Linked DNA regions of Saccharomyces cerevisiae S288C. Changing the gene in region 3 together with the main gene of any one other region gives a genetic interaction. Each region holds a gene or a part of one and is shown on either strand. Other genes may lie near its edges.

The links.
Region 1: mutations in CBT1 (region 3) and DFP2 together harm fitness more than expected from each alone (negative genetic interaction), as found in Saccharomyces cerevisiae (2 studies listed by BioGRID).
Region 2: mutations in CBT1 (region 3) and YMC2 together harm fitness more than expected from each alone (negative genetic interaction), as found in Saccharomyces cerevisiae (2 studies listed by BioGRID).
Region 4: mutations in CBT1 (region 3) and DFG16 together harm fitness more than expected from each alone (negative genetic interaction), as found in Saccharomyces cerevisiae (2 studies listed by BioGRID).

What each region holds. Positions count from the first base shown.
Region 1 is NC_001133.9:183,457-188,276, reverse strand, and holds DFP2 (DUP240 family protein), read right to left. Parts: upstream 1,957-4,820; coding exon 1,732-1,956; downstream 1-1,731. Other genes in the region: DUP240 family protein MST28, read right to left, coding at 1-170; pheromone-regulated DUP240 family protein PRM9, read right to left, coding at 545-1,441; KTD1 (DUP240 family protein), read right to left, coding at 2,681-3,385; DUP240 family protein UIP3, read right to left, coding at 3,800-4,507.
Region 2 is NC_001134.8:447,452-451,156, reverse strand, and holds YMC2 (organic acid transporter), read right to left. Parts: upstream 1,491-3,705; coding exon 501-1,490; downstream 1-500. Other genes in the region: glucose-induced degradation complex subunit VID24, read left to right, coding at 1-276; SIF2 (Sif2p), read right to left, coding at 1,841-3,448.
Region 3 is NC_001143.9:43,023-48,472, forward strand, and holds CBT1 (Cbt1p), read left to right. Parts: upstream 1-4,134; coding exon 4,135-4,950; downstream 4,951-5,450. Other genes in the region: ATP-binding cassette a-factor transporter STE6, read right to left, coding at 1-3,273; ER membrane complex subunit EMC3, read left to right, coding at 5,172-5,450. UniProt on the Saccharomyces cerevisiae protein: Involved in 5'-end processing of mitochondrial COB, 15S rRNA, and RPM1 transcript. May also have a role in 3'-end processing of the COB pre-mRNA.
Region 4 is NC_001147.6:384,100-390,551, reverse strand, and holds DFG16 (Dfg16p), read right to left. Parts: upstream 3,728-6,452; coding exon 1,868-3,727; downstream 1-1,867. Other genes in the region: HMS1 (Hms1p), read left to right, coding at 1-781; YOR029W (uncharacterized protein), read right to left, coding at 5,617-5,952; CIN5 (Cin5p), read left to right, coding at 6,132-6,452. UniProt on the Saccharomyces cerevisiae protein: Involved in invasion during filamentous growth.

The DNA.
Region 1 (4,820 bases), on a different chromosome or scaffold from region 3:
ACCAGGGACAAAATCATGACTGGTGTATAGCGAGCGATTTCATAGATCCAATAACTCAAGTACGAACGGAATATGTCCTTAGGAAGAGCCACATTTTTCTCAATTAAATGTGCACTAGGTTCGTTAAGTGTATCTAACTTGACGTCGGTACTTTCTGGAGGGGTCTGCATAGCCAATATATACCTTGTATTGCCTATGACTATAGTATTCCTGGTTGTTTCTGTGCCACTGCATACTGATCAAATGTTTCAATTACGCAGGACCCTTTTACGATTGTTTTTCATCTCTAGAGGCATTTTCAACATCGTATTTTCCGAAGCGTTGCATAATGAAAATGTGATAATAAGGCAGTGAGCTACTTTGTCACAACAAAGTACGAGAACAGATGAGGTTCCGTGGTGTTTTTGGGGCAACCGCACTATTTGGAGCGCTGTATATATTTATATCCTACTACAAAAAATCATAAATGACACTGAATTGGACACATGCTAGCGTCAAATACCTTGCCTGGTAAAGTTGTGTGCTAGTGTCTCCCGTCTTCTGTCTAAAAAAACTCATCGACACCAGGATACTCTTGTCGCCAATATTCCTTTTGAAATTGTTGTTCGATTTCGGCTGCCTTGGTGAGGAGCTTTATAAAGTTCGGTCCGGCACTAAAACTAGAAGACTCAGCGGCTTCGTTTGGTGTGCCAGCGGTTTCGTCATTTGATTGTGCGTCTTTAACATTGCTGGCTGACGATTCCTTTTGCTTCTTGAAAGTTCTTCCCTTAATAAGACTTAGAAAATAACGGTGGCAATCTTCATCACGGTAAAAGTAGTAGGGAGTATCCCATAGCCCATGATCAAATAAATACTGGTTCATCTTGTATGTAATTGTCCTCCATTCTTTCCCCTTTACCGCCGGTTTACGTGTGATAATTTCCATCAGAAGCTTAACTTTAAATTCCCGATCACCGATCGGTTCACTAAATGCAATTACAACCATGCATGTTCCTGGAAAGCAAAAGGAAAACAATAGTATCTCAAAGGCAACGCAAAATTCCGTATTATAAAAAAACACTAATAATAAAATTGAAGTCACAATAAGTACGAGCAAAATTACTGCCGCTTTATGACGAGTAACTTCATATATCCAATAACTTAAGTACGAACCGAATATGTCCTTGGGAAGAGCCACATTTTTCTCAATTAAATATGCACTGGGTTCGTCGAGAAAATCCGACTTGGCGTCGGTACTTTCTGAAGATGTTTGCATGCCCAGTTTATATCTTGTCTTCTCTATAGCTCTGCTATGGTGTTGAAGGATGTTATGCGGATCAAAATAGCGATCTGTCTTATACCAATTGAAACTTTTCATCACCTGCTTTTTACTTCGGAGGCATTTTTCATTCAATACTAAGTTCCGGAATGATACAAAATAAAAATGGTATTGAGGCGACATAAGTTGTTAGCACAGCAAAGATGGTTGCGGGTTAAGTTTTCTGATCGTTCTGGGAGAGTATTTACGTTAAAAAATAGGAATCAATTAAGCATAATCATGCCGTTTTGTGTGCTACATATCTGTTTCCCACTATATAAAGTCACGTTAGAATGCAATTTATCTAATTTACTACCCCATTTTAGCGTCAGTGGATTGGTAAATCCCTTTGCTAGCAAGGTACTGTCAGAATATTTCTCCTTCCTTTCAAATAATTGCACCAATATCTTGCCAATACTTCACTTGAGATTGTTCTACAATATCCGCTGTCTTGGAAAGCAATTTTGAAAATCTTCTCCGGGATTTAATGTGAAAGATTCGCCAGCTTCAGTCTCCTGTACATTTTCCTCAGCGTTGCTTGTTGGCTTCTCGAAAGTTCTTCCCTCAATAAAACTTAGAAAAAGACGGTGGCAATCTTCTTCGCAATAAAAGTAGTAAGGAGTACTCCATATTTTATGGTCAAATAGATATTTATTCATCTTGTACGTGATAATGTTTCATTCCCCTTTCACCGAACGCTGGCGTGTGCTTACCTCTAACGAAAGCCTAATATTAGATGCTTTATTGTCGGTCTGTCCCGGAGATGAAAAAAGAGGATAGAAGGGACATGAGATGGTATACTCGGAAATTAGTCAGTGAAATCAAAATTACAGATGCCAGGAACATAATCATTATCGGCTTACAATGAGCCCCCTCGTAACACGTAAAGTGAATAACTTAAGTACGAATTGAACATGTCTTTGGGAAGGACCACATTTCCCTCAACTAAATTGGCACCATCTCCACTCAACACATCCAGTCTAATATTTTTATTTTGTGGTTGCGATTGCATACACGATTTGAGTACTAAATTTTTGACGAATGTAATACGGACCAAACAACAGCTTTTTTATTCACTAGTTATTCTTATAACTACAACACCAAACCCTTTTTGAGATCCTTTTTTTCTTTTTCTATTGTTTGGATTTTCTTGGCTGCATTATGCGAAGCGCAACAATAGAATGTGACAAAAACTGACAGAACCCTTATTAAACAAATATGAAAACCTCTAAAAAAACTTACAAATACGATAGTTGTAGGCCATGATGTTTGTACAGCTCGAATATATGATGCTCAATTCTGGCTTCGAGATGTTCTTGAATTCGATTCTTGTTCTCGTTTTAAAGAAAAGTAAGTATACTTGGTGAATAAAATGCTTCCGCTTCAAGGTAAATCAGCGTCAGGATATTGCTTTCTCCAGTATTCACTTTGAGCCTCCTTTTCTATTTGTGTTGCCTTCAAAACATATGCCATCAAAATAGGGTCTGATCTAATACTATAAAAGTTGTTTAGACCATTTGAAGTCTTCCCTGCTGAGACAGGTGATTGTGTATCCTCGGCACTATTCGATGAGGAATCCGAGTGCGAACCAGAATTCACTTCCTTGATAAGAGTGGTGAAGAACTCATGGCACTTCTTGCCGCTATAGAAATAGTACGGGGTATACCATAGTCTCTTCATGAATAGATATTGGTTCATATTATATGCGACAGTACCCCATTCCTTCCCCGCAGGCTTGCGTGCGATCACCTCCACTAAAAGCTTTATCATGAACTCCTGTTCAGTGATCGCTTTCCCGAATGTGAATGCTGCAACCACCATTAAAGCCATGGAGGCTACTATAAGGGACATCACTAAGATCACAGTGCACCCGTCGTTATCATGAAAAAGCACAATCAATGAGATCAAACTCACGATTATGATGATCATAAACATGATCGGTTTACAATGAGCAATTTCATAAAGTACATAACTCAGATGTGAACTGAATGTGTCTTCGGGAAGAGCTACATTCTCTTCGATTAAATGTGCACTGGGTTCGTCGAGAGTATCCATCTTTACGTCGGTATTTTCTGAAGGTGTTTGCATGGTCAATTGATATCTTGCCTTAATATGGCACTTATAGATGTTATCCTGATCAAAATAGCCAGCTGTTTTATGCTTTTTTAACGTTGTTCACCATTGTATTTATTATTTTTGAGGCATTTTTCACGTATTGTTGCAACGTCCCGAAGGGATTCGATGTGATCGAAAAGCGTCCCGGCTGATCTATTGTGATGACCAGCTATCTCACGTTGGCGAGCATCAAGCCGAGGATCATAAAGCAAAATATATAATAGCATTTGCATCTAAAGTAAACTACATAAAATTTGTTTCGAGCGTACATAACTTTTACACCCAGATGGACTGACACTTAATTGCGGGCTTCGTAATGTTCTTGAAGTTAATGATGCTCGTACATTTTATATTAGAATATACTAGATAAATACCAAAAATTCGGCCCTAAGGCAAATCAACCTCTGGGTATTGCTTTCTCCAATACTCAAATTCAGCTTCTTTGTGAATTTCCGCAGCTTTAATAAGGTAAGCTTCTAAAACTGGATCAGAACTAAAGATATAAGGTTTTACCATCTCATTTGAAACCTCTTTTGCTGGTGTGTTTGACTGCGTATTCTCTGCACCGTTCGTTGGTGAACTCAAATGTGCATTCGACCTTGTCTGTTTGATAAGGCTTTTGAAAAATTTATGGCACCTATGTTCACAAAAAAAGTAATACGGAGTATGCCATATCCCATGGTCAAACAGATACTGGTTCATATTATATGCGATTATTCTCCATTCCTTCCCCCCTACTGCTGGTTTACGTGTAATGACTTCTACTAAAAGCTTAATTATGAAACCCTTATTCAAGGTCTCAGACACGAAGGCAGTTATACCGATCAATAAAATGATAATAGAGAGGATAAGAGAAATCACTAAAAACACAAGGATACCTTTGATATCATGAAAAAACGTAATCAATAAAACCAAACACACAGGTATTAGGAACATAATCATTAGCGGTTTACAACGAGCGATTTCATTAAGTATATAACTCCAGTACGAATTGAATGTATCCTCTGGAAGAGCCACATTTTCCTCGATTAAATGTGCACTGGGTTCGTCGAGAGTATCCAACTTGACGTCGGTATTTTCTGAAGGGGTTTGCATGTTGAATTGATATCTTGTCTTGTGTAAGGTTATTATATGGTTTTGGAGGTTGTTATGCTGATTCGAATTACGACTTGATCATGATACTAATTGAGCTTTGACGAAATATTTTAGCAATTCAGAACCCCTTTCATATTCTTTTTTTTTTTCATTTTTAGAGGCGTTTTTTCACTGATAGGTACAGCCTCCGAAATAATATATAGTGAAGATATAATAATAATAGTGCGAGCCTTTTACAGGGCCATTATGATCATGAGTGAGATCCAGAAAAGCACATTGCATGGCAGTCGGATGTTGAGAATTGGGGGAATTT
Region 2 (3,705 bases), on a different chromosome or scaffold from region 3:
ATTTTTAGCCAAGAGAAACAATTTGACAACTACTTGAACGAACGGTTTATATTTATGAAATGGAAGGAAAAATTTTTGGTACCAGATGCCCTATTAATGGAAGGTGTAGACGGCGCATCTTATGATGGGTTTTATTACATTGTCCATGATCAAGTTACCGGGAACATTCAAGGGTTTTACTATCATCAAGATGCTGAAAAGTTCCAACAGCTGGAATTAGTACCATCTTTGAAAAATAAAGTCGAGTCCAGTGATTGTTCTTTTGAGTTTGCTTGATGTGTGATATATTCGTTTTTACCTGCATACCCTTTTCTCTTCACTAACTTTAGATTTTTTTTTATGCATATTCCCTCATCATATATTCTGTAACGATCGATATAATTTCTTAGTTTGACACCACATAGATGATAATCACTAAAAGACTGTACACTTTTCTATTTGGTATGATAACAGCATGTCTATGTCTATATCTATAAAACGATGTTTTCATATATACTCTCCTACTCTTCCCCCAGAAATCTCATGACTAATTCAAACGTCAGGAATGTCGCACCATTAACGGGCGCGGACCTAACCATTGTTGGCCCAAACCCTTTGAAAAAGGCTCTGATACCTTCTTTTGCATAAATGGTCTTTGCTACGTAAGAAATGGAATTCTTGTATTTAGGTTTTCGTAAATCATCGTTTTGTATAATGGATTTCACAACGTCCAATGGGTATACTGTCAACCACAACATTGTCCCGGAAAATGCACCAAATAAGCATAATTTCCAAGGAGGAATTTCGTTTCTTGTTAGTCCCGTACCAATTTCTCTGGCAACCAATGCTTCGTAGACAAGAAAATATGTACCAAGCCCATGTCCGGCTCTTATCATTGTGGGAAATAAACCCCTCATCAATCCACCTTGAGCTTTCAATTTTTTAATACAGTCCCAAGGACCTTTGAATTCTCTGTCTCCACCATTAGATGTTTGCGTCTGCAAACGAATTCTTATTTGTTCAATGGGCGATGCCAAGAATGAATTGACTACACCACCTGTCAACCCACAAACGTAGTACTGGGATAGTGGCAGAGTATTTGAACGTGAAAGATCTACGTCCTGTGAGCTCATATTCGGGTTCTTAGAAGCGTTGTAATTTTGGAAAAATCTTTTCATCGCCTCATTCACACCAAATTGTACTGAGACACATATACCAACACCCAATAACGGTGTTAACGCACCTTTGTAGAATGCAAACACACCCTCATTCTTTACCAAGTTACGCAATACCTCCAACGTTGTTGTTCTTGTGGTGGCTGTTTGAAGCCTAACTTTTGTTGTATCAAACGGTTGCCCTACAAGAACTTGTGCAATACCACCGATGGTACCCGCAAAAATATCCTTCAACACACGATTAGAACTTAACTCTCTCTTCTCATTCGGCGTGGTAACTTTCTGTTGATCTTCCAATTCATCCAAAAGCTGCGGCGTAGGAAATTCTTCACTCATGACTAACTGTAATTGTAATACACGAAATTATTGCGCCGCTTTTTTCTGTTCTTTATGGCTACCCCTATTTATCAATTACAGTTGTATCATCCAAGAGGTGAAAACTAATTAAAGAAACTTATTTTAACACAAGGTATAAAAAATTATAAAAAAGCAATGCTCATTGTCTTCTCTCATCGCGAGCGGCCGTTATCTTCAAAGTGATGACTCTTCGAGATTCCTGCACAACGTCACTCAAAGGCGGCCCGCGACGTTTTCCATTGCGAAATTTTTCACTTTTCACCTTTTGTAAACAAAGAAATAACAATAAGAATGATAAAATTCATCTGTTTATGTACTGTACCTAGTTATTATATGGCTACAACTGAACCTTCTTGAAGCGAGTATGCTACAGAAATCTTGTTTCCCGCACAGTTCCATGACAGATCAAATATATAATCATTGTCTTGGCTGCTTTGGTAGCTAGCGTAGAGGGGAATTGGTAATGGATTCAAAATCCCATCACGGTTACCATAAAGACTTCGTGACTTGCTGTTCAGTTTTTTTAAATCGTAGACGTTTACCTGCCCATCCATGAAAGCAACTGCGTACTTCTGTCCATCTTGTGATATTCTTCCAGCAAAAATTGGGACACCATCCACGATTGATAGAGCCAATAGCGTATTCTGCTTCAGCGACCATAGGCGAACGGAGCCATCCATCGAGCAGGATATTACCTTATCATCACCGACCCATGATGCCGATACTATGCTTTGTGAGTGTCCGTAGAAGCAATTCTGAGAATTGCCGTTACCGCCATGCCATATTCTTAGAGTACCATCGTCTGAGGCACTAAGTAGAAGTTTATTGGTGTCATTGAACTCCAAAACGCTGATAGGTCCATGGTGTCCAATAAGTTTACCAGTGGGCGTTTTTTCTGTAATTTGGTATACAAATATAGCACCTTTAGGGCCAGGAATGACAAATTTGTCATCGTCTACCCATTCAACGTCAACCCCAAGTGAACCATCGCCACTATGGTTCTCTGCGTTGATGGATGAGCCACCGGTTTCTTTTAATTCAAAGTGCTGCATGACGGTCCCGCTTATAACATTCCAGAGTATAGTGACATTTTCCACGTCCATGGATATGATATGTGTTCCATCTTTGTTCCATTTAACGGATACTATAGGTGCTCTATGAAAATTTAAAACATTCAGAAGTGCCCCCGTCTTATTCCATAGTCTTAGCTCACCATTTTCTACACCCGTGACAATTGAATTACCATCGTGTGACCAAGCAAGACATGTGACTTGATTCGTCGTTTTACCACTACTTGCACTCAGAGCAAAAGGATGTCTCAACTCCGCTATTATCGTGAGTTTCCAGTATTTTTTCCCTTCTTGATCGGTTTCTACTATCCTCGCTAGTCTTGCAACAGAATTTTTTTCACCGTATGCGAGTATAGATTCATCCAATGGATTCCAAGTGGAGGAAACAATATTATCTAATTTTACTATCTCCTTCAGTATTTTGACAAATCCGTCTAGGTCATCACTACTGTCAATAGAATTAGTATCGTCCTCTTGGGTTTCTCTTTCAACAGTACTAGCGCCATCTTCACCTGCTTTATTACTCTCGGAATTGGTTTCCAAAGTGAACCTTCCTTCAGAAGAGATCTCAGGAAATTTTTCTTTATCTATTTGCAGCGCCTGAACCAAATTGAAATCTTCAGAAAGATGATGTTCATTTAAAGCGCTGATATCACCTTTACTATCAACCATTAACTCACTTTCTGTATACAAGATTCCCCTTTGTACTAGATTCACCAGTGTACCCAAAGGAATGTGTTCTTTATACTTCTCATCAAATTCCAATACTCTTGTTTCATCCTGCAATGCTAATGCACTCACCTCGTGTCCCATCTCTTGACAATACCTCCATATCAAGTAGTTTAGTTCTTCACTTGTTATACTCATTTTCCGTGTGATGGGCCTTCCCTACCTTTTTTTTGTTTCTGTTATTTTTATCTGAGTTAGCAGTTGTTAGTGTGGGCTGTACACTTCTTTGGAAAAAAAAACCTTCAATTTCGCACCAAGGTGTTTAAATTGTTCTCACTAATTGCAAATCAAAACGAATGGTCTTGCATATCTCATAACCTTTTCAACATGAATACATTCCTAATCATTTTTGTTTATTTCTCGTTTGCTAAGTTCCGCTCCATGAAAATAGATGA
Region 3 (5,450 bases):
TGTGCCTGATTCACCAATGATACCTAACGTCTGTCCGCAAAACATGTCAAAATTCATGTTTTTGTAAACAAAGGCGGTAGGTGCAGATGGATAGGCAAATGTCAAATTTTGAATTGAAACGATTGGTTTTTTTTCTTTGCCATGGTAGGTGTGACCAGCTATTCCCACTGTTCTAGCATTATTGTTTTCAACCTCTAGGGTATTATGCTTTTCATCAAGAATCCTATAGATCCAACTGGCAGCACGTTGGCCTCTACTTATATCGGGTATCTGACTTACTAGGCTAGTGCATGACATAATAGTGAATAATAACAAAGTGAAAGTCGTAAACATTTCCTTTGAGGTGTACTCGTGAATCATAACCAGCTTTAGGCCATAGTAGTAAATAATAGCTTGGATACACATGACAATCATGTTTGTCATAGATATACCAAATCCTGTGGCAATGGCGCGTTTGGAGGCAATTTGTTGCATTTTTATCTTCAAGTCATGGTAGGTCAATTGAAAATGAAATTCAGCTTGTAAGCACTTAATGGTTTTAATGTTAGTGACAATCTGGTACAGGCAGTTTTCTAACTGAGCAACAGATGTCTTATAATCTGTTTCGCATTTTTGTAAAATGCCTCCATATATTGCTGAAAATATAATTATGAGTGGAAACATCGAAATACAAACCAAACTTAACTTCCAGCCCGATACTAACGCCCAAATTAGTCCAATCGTTGATACGGTAACGAAACTAGTCATTGCACTCAAAAATTCAGAGACCAAAGACCTCAAATCTCGCAAATCATTCAAGACTAGAGCAGAAATTTCAGAAGCCTTGTTGTTTTCACCAGAAAACCAGTCCATATTCTTTCTCGTCAGTTTTTCCATAACTTCATTTCTAAGATCCATAACCCAGTATTCACTGCAGCAATCTAATAGGAATCCTTTAGCAAAATTGAAAATACCATCTGCCGCAGCCACACCAAGAACAAGAAGCGACCATTTCGCCAAATAATGTGAAGAGCCAGTTTTTCCATCCGTGGATGGGACAATTCCTTCTAGTAAGAAACTGAATGTGTATGAAAAGACGGGATTTGTGGCGCCTGCGATAAGAGAACATAGCAGTCCCAAGATTAGAATTTTTTTGTATCTTATGCTTTTAATCATTCTTTTGATAATCTGAATAATGCTCAGAAGTTGTGGCCCTGTTGAACTTTCGGTGTTCTTTTGTTGTTTTAGTGCATACCCAATATTTTCCTCTTCAACTTTAACCCTTCTTGTTCTAACGTTCGATCTTTTTTGATAGATTGCTTCGTAAAAGGACAACTGATCTGTCTCATCATATCCCAGATTACTTAAGCATGATCCAAGTTTTGGTGTTTCCAATTGAGAGTTAAAACTTTCCACAGTGTGTATAGATTTTTCTTCAGTCTCTGTATCTACAATAGTTTTCGCATCAGAGTAGTCATTCTGTAGGTGATACCATGTGCTAAATGTAGTGGTCGGATCGGCTAGAAGTTCAGACTGGGTGCCGCTTTCAACAACTTCACCTTCCTTCATTAAATATAAATAGTCATCAGATTCAATTTGGCTCAACTCATGCGTCAATATGATTGTAGTCTTTCCTTTCCTCCAATGCCTAATTGCCTTCATCAACAGGTTGCGATGAACAATATCTAGAGCCGATACAGCTTCGTCTAAGAATAATATTGGAGTATCTCTGATGAATGCACGTGCTATAGCAACTCTTTGTTGTTGCCCGCCACTTAGTGTGACACCCCCAGTCCCAATTAATGTTTCCAGTCCATCGGGAAGGTCTAGAATAAATCTATCCAGAAGAGCCATTTGACAGGCATCTTTGATTAAATGTCTATTTTCATTGGTGCTGCAATCGGCATTTCTTACCGAATCTGTTGAACCTAAAAGAATATTTTTTCTAAGAGTATCATTAAATAGGGTACAACGCTGTTCTACGACGGTGATATTTTCAATTAGCAATTTTTGGTCGATTGTTTGGATATTGTGGCCATTGATAGATATCGATCCATTATAGCCATCGTAGAACCTTAATAATAAGTTGGATAATGTAGATTTACCTGAGCCTGATTTTCCTACTATGAAAGTAAATTGTCCTGCAGAGAAATTTAAACTAACGTTCTTTAAAACTGCTTCCGAAGGTCTGCTTGGATAAGAAAACGAAACATTAGCAAATGTTAGATCACTGGTGGCATAATCTAGTGGAAATTGGTGGGCTACAGTTTTATTTAAAGGATTTCGCTTGGATCCATCTTTTAATAGAGTCATGATTTTTTCCATAGCCACTCCGCCTTTTTGAAGAACAACTATTTGGTGTAATGTATTATTTAAAGTCGAGCCCAGCATAATGCATGAATGGAAGCAAGTGATTACATCGTTAATGTTCAGCTTGCCCTTTTTGATCATTGCGGAACCAAACCAGAATCCCTGTACAAACATAGTCAACGTCAAAAATCTCAAGATCCCAGCGTTTGCAGCAACAAAAAAGCAACTCTTGATGAAGAAAGTGTTACAATTTAGTATGATTTCCTTGAATTTTTTCCTTTCTAGACGTTGTGTACAATATAATCTCACTAATTGAGCGGCATTCATCGACCATGTAAGTAATTGGGCTGCTTTACTCGTTTCAGAATTCTCCTTCTCTGAATATACATGAATCATTCTGGAAAACACCACTGCAAAAAATGTGATTATTGGAGAGCTGCAAAGAATAATTAAAGTTAATGACCAAGAATAGTAGAATGACGTCCCCAGAAGCGCACATATTGCAACTAAATTCTGGAAAGTTATGGCTGATGCCTCTGCGGAGCTTGATCTTAGCTCTTCCACACATCTGTTGATTTGAGTAAAATCTCCTAACAATTTTTCATTATTGTCGTACCATTCCATTGGCTTTTCCTCCAAATATGCCTCCAATATCTGTGACCGTATTCTAAAGCCTTGTCTCTCGCCGATGTGCATCCAACTTGTTAGAGAAAGCCACATTACTGGCACAGAAGCCGCACCAAGTGCCATTACTGCCATTGACCTCTGTACTAGTTGGGAATACAAACCTTGATGTGACCCATTAGCCACGAAAACTGATAGTAGATCGAACACTCTGCCCGTCAGGATAGAAGTAATTGCCGGCACTAGGCCTGTTGCCACGGTACCTATTATCATTATCATTAACAGCCTGTAGTCATTCCGTATGTTCACGTACCTGAAAATGTGATAGTGTTTTGTAGTCTTAAAACTTAAAAAGTTCATGACGTAGCTTGTTCTTTGTTTCCTAGTGGAATTTTCAGCGGCACTTGAAAGCTCTCTGTGTGAACGTAACAACGGGAGATAGTTCAGCCATATCCAGGTTTATAAGCTCTGGTATTTAAATGATGAACGGCAATAATGCAACAGTTTTCATATCTGAAACAATTGTATATGTGCGAAGCAGCGTGTAAATTTCCCTATTAGGTAATTACATGGCAAAAAAAATAAGAAACTATTTTCTTAAAGTACCTTTACCCTTTGTGGAAAACAATAAATTGTATAGTGGCAGAATAGAGAAAAGAAAAAGGAAAGGAACATATTTGTCAGTGCAAGGACCATCATTGTTTGAAAAAAGAGAGGATATTACTAGTAGGTAATAACAGCTATGTCGCGTTATATATATTATATATAAAAATTAAAAAATAGAAAATAAAATTTCAAATGCCCTCTGTGGGAATTGAACCCACGATCCCCGCATTACGAGTGCGATGCCTTACCACTTGGCCAAAAGGGCTGAGTAATTTTTATACCTGCTAAATTTGTGGCTCCGCTATACTTTACAGATTTATCTATTTTGAAGATGATACATTTAGCAAAAATGACCTTAAAAATGAAGCAGGTGCCATTTGCCTATAGCTTGGAAAAGTAGTAATGGTTATTCAAAAAGTTAGCAGCGAGATCTTTTTTCTATCGCGCGTTAAAACGTTTGAACAGATATATATTATTCAGCCACAACTATCTATATATAATATTTCTTCGATTTTTCGTTTTCTCAAGTTTCGTCTTATTGATTGATCAGAAGTTTACTGCGCTTTTGGGTAAAGAAGCATTAAACAAAGGAGAGAGAAATATTGCAAGGAAAAAATGGTGAGCTATGGAAGTCATAGTAGTGAGGTTTCGAAAGTTCTTAAAACGCCGAAGTTTGTGCTTAGGTATGGAAATGTATCCAGCAAACAACGTTTTGCCCTAAAGCGGAAGATAAATTACAAACTACGTGAAAGCAAATATCAAGAATACTTGAATGAATACAACACCTTCGTGCTTTACGACTGGGAAAACAGTGGCGCTGGTAGTCTTGTCGATTCTTCCTACAATCTCCCCTCTTTATGGAAGGAATTCATAACAGAGGGCATATCTAAAGGAGCAATAAACGACAAACTACCGACAGTCTTTATGAAGAGGAAGTTGACAAACTCAGCGTTGGGTCACTGTTTGGGACTTGATTTCCTGACTGATCCGAGCGAGTCAGAACATGAATACAGGTGCATGTTTCAGACAGTTCAGGACATCCCATCTCTCTCGCAACTGATCTTATTCAACAGCATGCCAAACGTTCCAGTAAGATTGAAATTGCATACCATTGGTATAAATATAAATTTCGGCTGCAAACGTTCCCTGATAAGCAACGGTGGTGATCAAGACACTGAAATGAGCGAAGCAGTCTCTTATATCCAGCCTTTATTGGAAGAATCCTCGAGAATGTACCGCAATTTAAACTACTGGAAGCTGTTAAAAATAGCACGAAATAACAAGAAGGATGAACCGTTGGATCAGAGCACGCGTATCAAGTCGCAAGTTAAGCTTTTACTGAGTCAATTGGCGACGAACCGAATTACCTCACCTTCCGTCACGGATCATGGGGGTCACAACTGGCTCATATTCACCAGAAGACGGTTGTAAACGATAAATATGCCATAAAGATCTGCGAACTGTACATATCCATATATAATGCGTATTATTTGGTGACTATAGCACTGGCTTCCGCCATCTCACTAAGAACGAAGAGGTATAATAAAGCATTGTGATGTTAAAGAATGACGATTAACCAGCATTTACAACAACTTCTCTTCAACAGAATAGACAAAACAACAAGCAGTATTCAACAAGCTAGGGCGCCGCAGATGTTATTAGATGACCAGCTGAAGTATTGGGTCCTGTTACCTATTTCGATTGTCATGGTTTTGACGGGTGTACTCAAACAGTACATCATGACACTTATAACGGGAAGCAGTGCAAATGAAGCACAACCAAGGGTAAAGTTAACTGAATGGCAATATCTACAATGGGCACAATTATTGATTGGAAACGGTGGGAACCTGTCTTCCGATGCATTTGCTGCGAAGAAGGAATTTCTAGTTAAGGATCTCACTGAGGAAAGGCACCTAGCCAAGGCCAAGCAG
Region 4 (6,452 bases), on a different chromosome or scaffold from region 3:
CATTGATAATGTAAAGCAAACCGATCTTAAATCTGAAAAGGACTCGAGTCTTCTTTCAGCAGCTTCAATCGTGAAAAAGGAACAATTGTCTGGCTTTGAAAATTTTTTGCCTTTATCGAAGACAGAGTCTCCCTTAGTTACTGCAGACGAGATTAAATCATCTTTGAATTTGGAGAATATTGACAATGCTGACAGTATGAGCTTCAAGTTAAAAACTTCACCTATACGGAAACATTTTCATGTTAAACCCAAAAGAATAACAAGGGTGAGGACAGGAAGGGTATCACACAATATAATTGAAAAGAAATACCGTTCCAATATTAATGATAAAATTGAACAATTAAGGAGAACTGTCCCAACGCTACGAGTAGCGTATAAAAAATGTAACGATCTTCCCATTACATCTAGAGACCTAGCAGACTTAGATGGCCTAGAGCCAGCAACAAAATTGAATAAGGCGTCCATTTTAACGAAATCTATTGAATATATTTGTCATTTAGAAAGAAAGTGCCTACAGCTAAGCTTGGCTAATCAACATTTATCAAATGACACACGGGATTCTTTCGTCCATCTTACCGAGCCATCTCAACCGTTGAGTGACAACAGTAGTAGTGAACAAGTACAAAAGCAAACCAGAAGCTGCCAACGCCAACGGCAGCGGCAGCCACGACAACAACAACCATTGCATAACATTCAATATAATATTCCACATCAAAACGGCCTCATGAGCGGCACCAACAATTCACATGATATGGATTTTAACAACGCAGGAGACTTTTAATACTTGAACAACAAAATGTTTCAACACGACAGATAAAACGAAGAAGAAATACTATATACAAATCTGTACTTGTGTGTATGCGTAACATTGTAATTTTAATTTTGCATTGAGAAATCTATTTTATTCATCTCTTTTAGTGTTAGTAAACACTCGCAGATGCCTTGAGCTCCGCACCGTAATTTAGTTTAATTTATTTCTCTTAGTGCCGTCTAAATAATAACGATCTAAAAAAAAGATTCCGGGAAAAAGAAACTATACCTTATATTTAGTTCATGCAGTTAAATAAATGTTGTTAATTAAGGGTAAAATATGATGATGTATTTATGATAAGTAAAGAGTAGGGGTCACCTAACATTTTTCACAATTGCATTTACTCTTTTCACAAGTGCACGTGGTTTCGCATTTGCATTTTTCACCACAACTCTTACATTGAGGGCTTCCGGTGCTGTGATCACATTTGCACTTTTCACCGCCAGAACAGCTTGGAAGGCAGGTGCTCCCACAATGACAAGAGTCCTTACAACATTCGCCTTAACAGTCACATATTTTTACAGTCATATTTATTGAGTACTATTTGACATTGTAGTGTTCAGTGTAATATCGCTTCGCTATTCTTAGGGGGGACGATGTGCGCCCTTCTTATATAGGCCCCGCTTGATCACTACTTCACAGCCCTCTCGCATCCCTATCCTTTTTTTGTCCGAAAGACAAAAATCACTTCCACACAGCAATAAAGACGCATTTATTGTTCTTTTTCTTAAAAGTGCTTGCAGTAGGGGGTTTAGCAAAAGAAAAAAATATATGACCGGTTGTTATGCGATCTGACGTAAAGTGGAACTCATTTTGAAGGGTTTCTGCACAGAAGTCAATGCCAGAAGGATTTGGAACACCTACAGGACTGAACGTCGGACTAAAATAATGTTGGTAGAGTATGGTATTACTGTAAATTAATCGTTTATACGTGACGTTGACGATGGGATTTGATTTTCTTGTATATCTGACTTGAAAATAAAAGCAATAAATGACCACAAGAAATAAAGGCAGCTGTACTTCTGCAGTTATGTCTTTTCGTCCACTGGGCCTGCCTTAATCACTATTTTCGTAATTATAAATGTGGTTGGTTCGAAGTTCGGTTTCCATACTTTCGTTGTCACTGATGTCTGTAGCTAGATAATTGGAATCTCTAATATGTTTGTCGGCTCCTGGTCTAACAGTTGAGCCTTCTTTATTCTGTCCAATGCCATTTTTTGGTTCATATGAATTGGTTTTTCGCCTAGGCTTCCTTAATAGCTGTCGATATTTGGATAATGTCGTTTTAGTATTAGGTTTGCCATTCGATTTACTTCCAAAACTGGGATTTTGCCCAAATTTATTCTCACTTTTCATTATCTTATGTCTTCTTCTTCTGTCCCTTATTCTTTCGATTGGAGATTTCCAGGTGGGTGAAGGGGATCCTACTAAACTTGATGAATCGTGGGAAGTAGTGTTACTTTTAGTAGTGTTTAAATCCCTGTTTAACGTTATGGCGCTTAAATGCTTGCCTAAATCTTCTCCGTAATAATTGACTGTTGGATTGGCGAAAAATTTGTCCCTATTGTTAATTTTTCGTCCAAGGACTGTTTTTTTGCTTATGTGCAGCTCCCTCTTTTCCAATACTCCAATTAAGCCCCAAACGTTCACTGTTATTAAAACTTTCAAAAGATGAACAAAGTTAAATGTCCAACCTCTAACATGTTTGGTGAAAGCAGCGAAAAAAATTGTGGTGAAATAGAATAAAATAAATATAAGAATATTATACGCCAATAATGGTATAGTTTCGTGATAATTTTCCCAAAGAATTCTCAATTTCGTTTTACACTTACCGTCCGTATTAATTTCAGCAGTTTTCGGTAAAAGTATGTAAGCAAAATTATGCCATGTGAAGTAACAAATAATGGAGATGAAAATTGTGTAAATCAGTAATTCGATTAGCTTGTAAAATACCTTCAAAACTACAAGGTTCTTTCTCCAAAGAAGGTTTGCGAATAAAATGTTATCGGCTAGTGAGAGGAAGCAACCCACGGTAATTATGATATGTGTCCCCTTTTTCATTTTAAATGGGATCCAATTCCAAGTTGGTTTTCCATAATTGGACTGTAAGTAGTGAACAATATAAATCCAGTTTATATCACTCAAAATATTTGCAACTAATTCACATATTTTATATGGTGCAGTTTCTACGATGAACGATTCAAATTGGCTCGCATCCTGGTAGTCATCGTGATATTGGCTGTCAAATATGACGGCTATAGTCTCGTTTAGAAATACAGTTCTTATAATCGCAGAGAAAAGGACGTAAACATGTACAACTTTATTTCTTCTATTATGATTATCGGATGGCAGTAATAAGACAACCAAAAATAGCATCCATGTTGCCACACAGATACACCCAGAAGCAAAGGTGATCATTATCATTCCTAAGGGAAATGGGTCTTTTCCGATGTATTTACTACTGTCATCTTGAACGTTGAATTTGTTGTTGATGTCATAAACAAAGTCTTGTAAGACATGAGAGAAATTAGGATTTGCACTGCCATTATCGCATCGGATCAAAAAGGATGGGTAATTTAAAGTGTAATTATAAGCACGTAAGTGCCACGAATTACTTGCTAGAGAGATGAAGCCACCTGTCAATACATTTACCGTGCATGAGTTTTCATATTTATTTAGTAGTTTATCATCTATCAAATCAGTCAGATTGTAAGCTGGAATGTTGTCGATGTGTTTTTTATAAGGTGGCCGGTGGTCGTAATGCGGTGGTCTTTCATCACCAAGTTTATGTCCCGGAGGACCAGGTATCAAATCGGGAGGTTGAATTCTCTTTCTTGCTGCTTTTTCATACGCACCTACAAGTCCTAAATGGTAAACTAAAGTGAGGAGGTAGTAAAAATGCAATCTTATGATCATTAATCTTGCACGTAAAGACGTTCCGCAACAAAAAATGCTTGTGAGTGCAATATCAATAAGTATTGTTTTTGAGCCTTCGGAGTTGAGCTGCCATTTGGTGGTACTTGTTTTGAATATGATAGAAGCCTTATCTTTGACACTTCTTCCAGTCAATTTTCTCGCCAAGTTAAAAAAAAAAGTTACAATTTTCTCATCACCCCGAAACAACAAAAGAAAGTATATTGCTCTTTAGCCCTTCCTTGCAGATTTTTCAATCCAACGGGGCTAGTAAATCTGATATCAATCACATCGATTGTGTTATCTTCACATGTTGTTTGATAGAAATCAGACCTTCTTTTTTCTTCTTCTCGGATGTTTATAGTTAGTAAAGCTAAACTGTGTATATATGGCAATCACCGAAGACGAATTATTACAGGACAGAAATAAATGGGTTACACACCAGAAATCAGGGACAAAAGGGCCCAACGGAAATTTTATAGGTTGTTTTGTTTATCTGTGCACATAGGCGACAAAACTAAAGTTATGTATCTAAGAATTACAACGTAGTGTAGGTGAGCGGTACTTGAAACTTTCTTTTTGTAAACACCATAAAAGGATATTAATGACATCGGTTGAAATAATGACATCTAGAAGGAAAATTACAACTAGAAGAAAGCGTGATTATGTTGTAAAGAATCCGGCAAATAGAAAAGCTAAAAGATGATTGCAAGGCTAGTGAAGATATTTCAAAACTTAGTTACTCGTTACCTTAAAAACCTTACATTGTTCTCATGTATTACATGAAATTCTATCTTTTCTTTTTGAATAAGCTCTAAGTATTAATCCTCAAGTATTAATTGCCCACCACCTTCTTAAAACTGTTGTTTTTTAATTACAATTTTCTACGCTAACCCGTTTCTTCCATTTTCTCACTGTTAGTATTCCCATATAACGATCTTCTTAGATTATCTATAAAAGCGTATTTTGAGATTTGTTGCAATGACCTAAAAATGGTTGACAGTCATTCTTCTTGTTGCTGCTTTTAATAAACTAATTCTTTAGAGAAGGATAAGTACTGTGACATATTTACACTTTTTAACTAACTTCTTTGGCCACAACTAGTGAAATGTTCATCTACTGCGCAATTCAATATGCCCGCCGATAGCTAAGCGATAGCTCTTTCAAAAATTTTAAAAAAAAGGTACTATCAAACTGAATTGGAATGATTATGGTTCAAACTTACTCCTGATTCAAATATAGCAAAAAAATCAGGTGTGCAGCTATAGATCTGCCAGATACACGAGTCATTGCGAAAGGCACCATATATTACCTTATTTAGTGCCTTCTTGAAAAACAACTACAAGATCTTAACGTCACTGTATAGTGCCATTCGGTGAGCAAAGACAGGTATTGGTACTAATTGACAGTAAATGACTTATCTAACCCGTTGACGCAATGCTTCGCTTTTGCCATCAAGAATGTTGAACTGTGCAAAATGGTATTTTTTCGGAGAAACATTTCAAAATGGAAAGGTAACAACGTCCGTAGTTTTGTTTTTCCGTTTTATCGTTTACATGATTATCCTGAAAAGTCCCCTGCAGCAGCAATCATAGGGCCCACTCACTGCCATGTCTTCCCACCTCCTAAGAAATGGCTGCCCCACGCCCCTTTGACGACTTACTCCTCAAGGTAAAACTTGGCGTACGGAGAGGGGTCGAGAAAAGGTTCCGAGTGGAAATGTACGCCAATGTTTAGGGCTACGTGGAATGTGATCTCATTCTTACAAAACACGTAGATGATGAAAAGGGCCGCAAAAGTTTCTGTTATTCTTTAAATTGTTCCCAGAAATCCTCGAAGGAATGACCTAAATCTTAAGGCACTTGCTTTTAAAACTATTGTTCGTTAATTTGTTAGTAATGCAACCAAGTGCTCCAGCCCAACCGAAAAAAAGGGAAATTAACTTTACATCGATAAGCTCTGACGCAATGCGGGAGGGGATTTCCCGAGCGGAAATACCACGGCGCTGAAAAAAAAAAAATCGGAACCGGAGTTGCCTCACCGATCCCAATGGTGACATGCAAAGAAAATTTTATTGGCATTAAATCTATGAGGAAGAGGGTAGGAAGGAGTACTAGGCAAAAATCGTAACTAGGAGCAGAAGGCGAGTAAAACCCTTTCAATACTAGGGAGAGAGTGATTTGATAAGGATACCTCCTCACTCGAGAACTAGTTGATGTCTGCATCATTACCAAAGTTCATGTATATAAAAAAGGAACTGGGTGATTTATTTTTTCTCACGCATTCTGCTTACAAATAATTCATTAGATAATTTTACTGATTAACTACGACTTTTTGCAGCCGTTAATCTCATCATAGATATAGAATAACAGCTTGGAACAAGAAGGAAAACCAAAAACCTACTCAAATGTTAATGCAAATAAAAATGGACAATCATCCTTTTAATTTTCAACCTATTTTAGCTTCCCATTCAATGACAAGAGACAGTACAAAGCCAAAAAAAATGACGGATACCGCTTTCGTGCCAAGCCCTCCTGTAGGGTTTATTAAAGAGGAGAACAAGGCTGATTTGCATACAATTTCGGTAGTTGCTTCGAATGTGACTCTACCGCAAATTCAGCTCCCAAAGATTGCAACACTTGAAGAGCCTGGTTATGAGAGCAGAACTGGCTCACTTACAGATCTTTCTGGAAGAAGAAATTCTGTTAATATAGGAGCATTGTGTGAG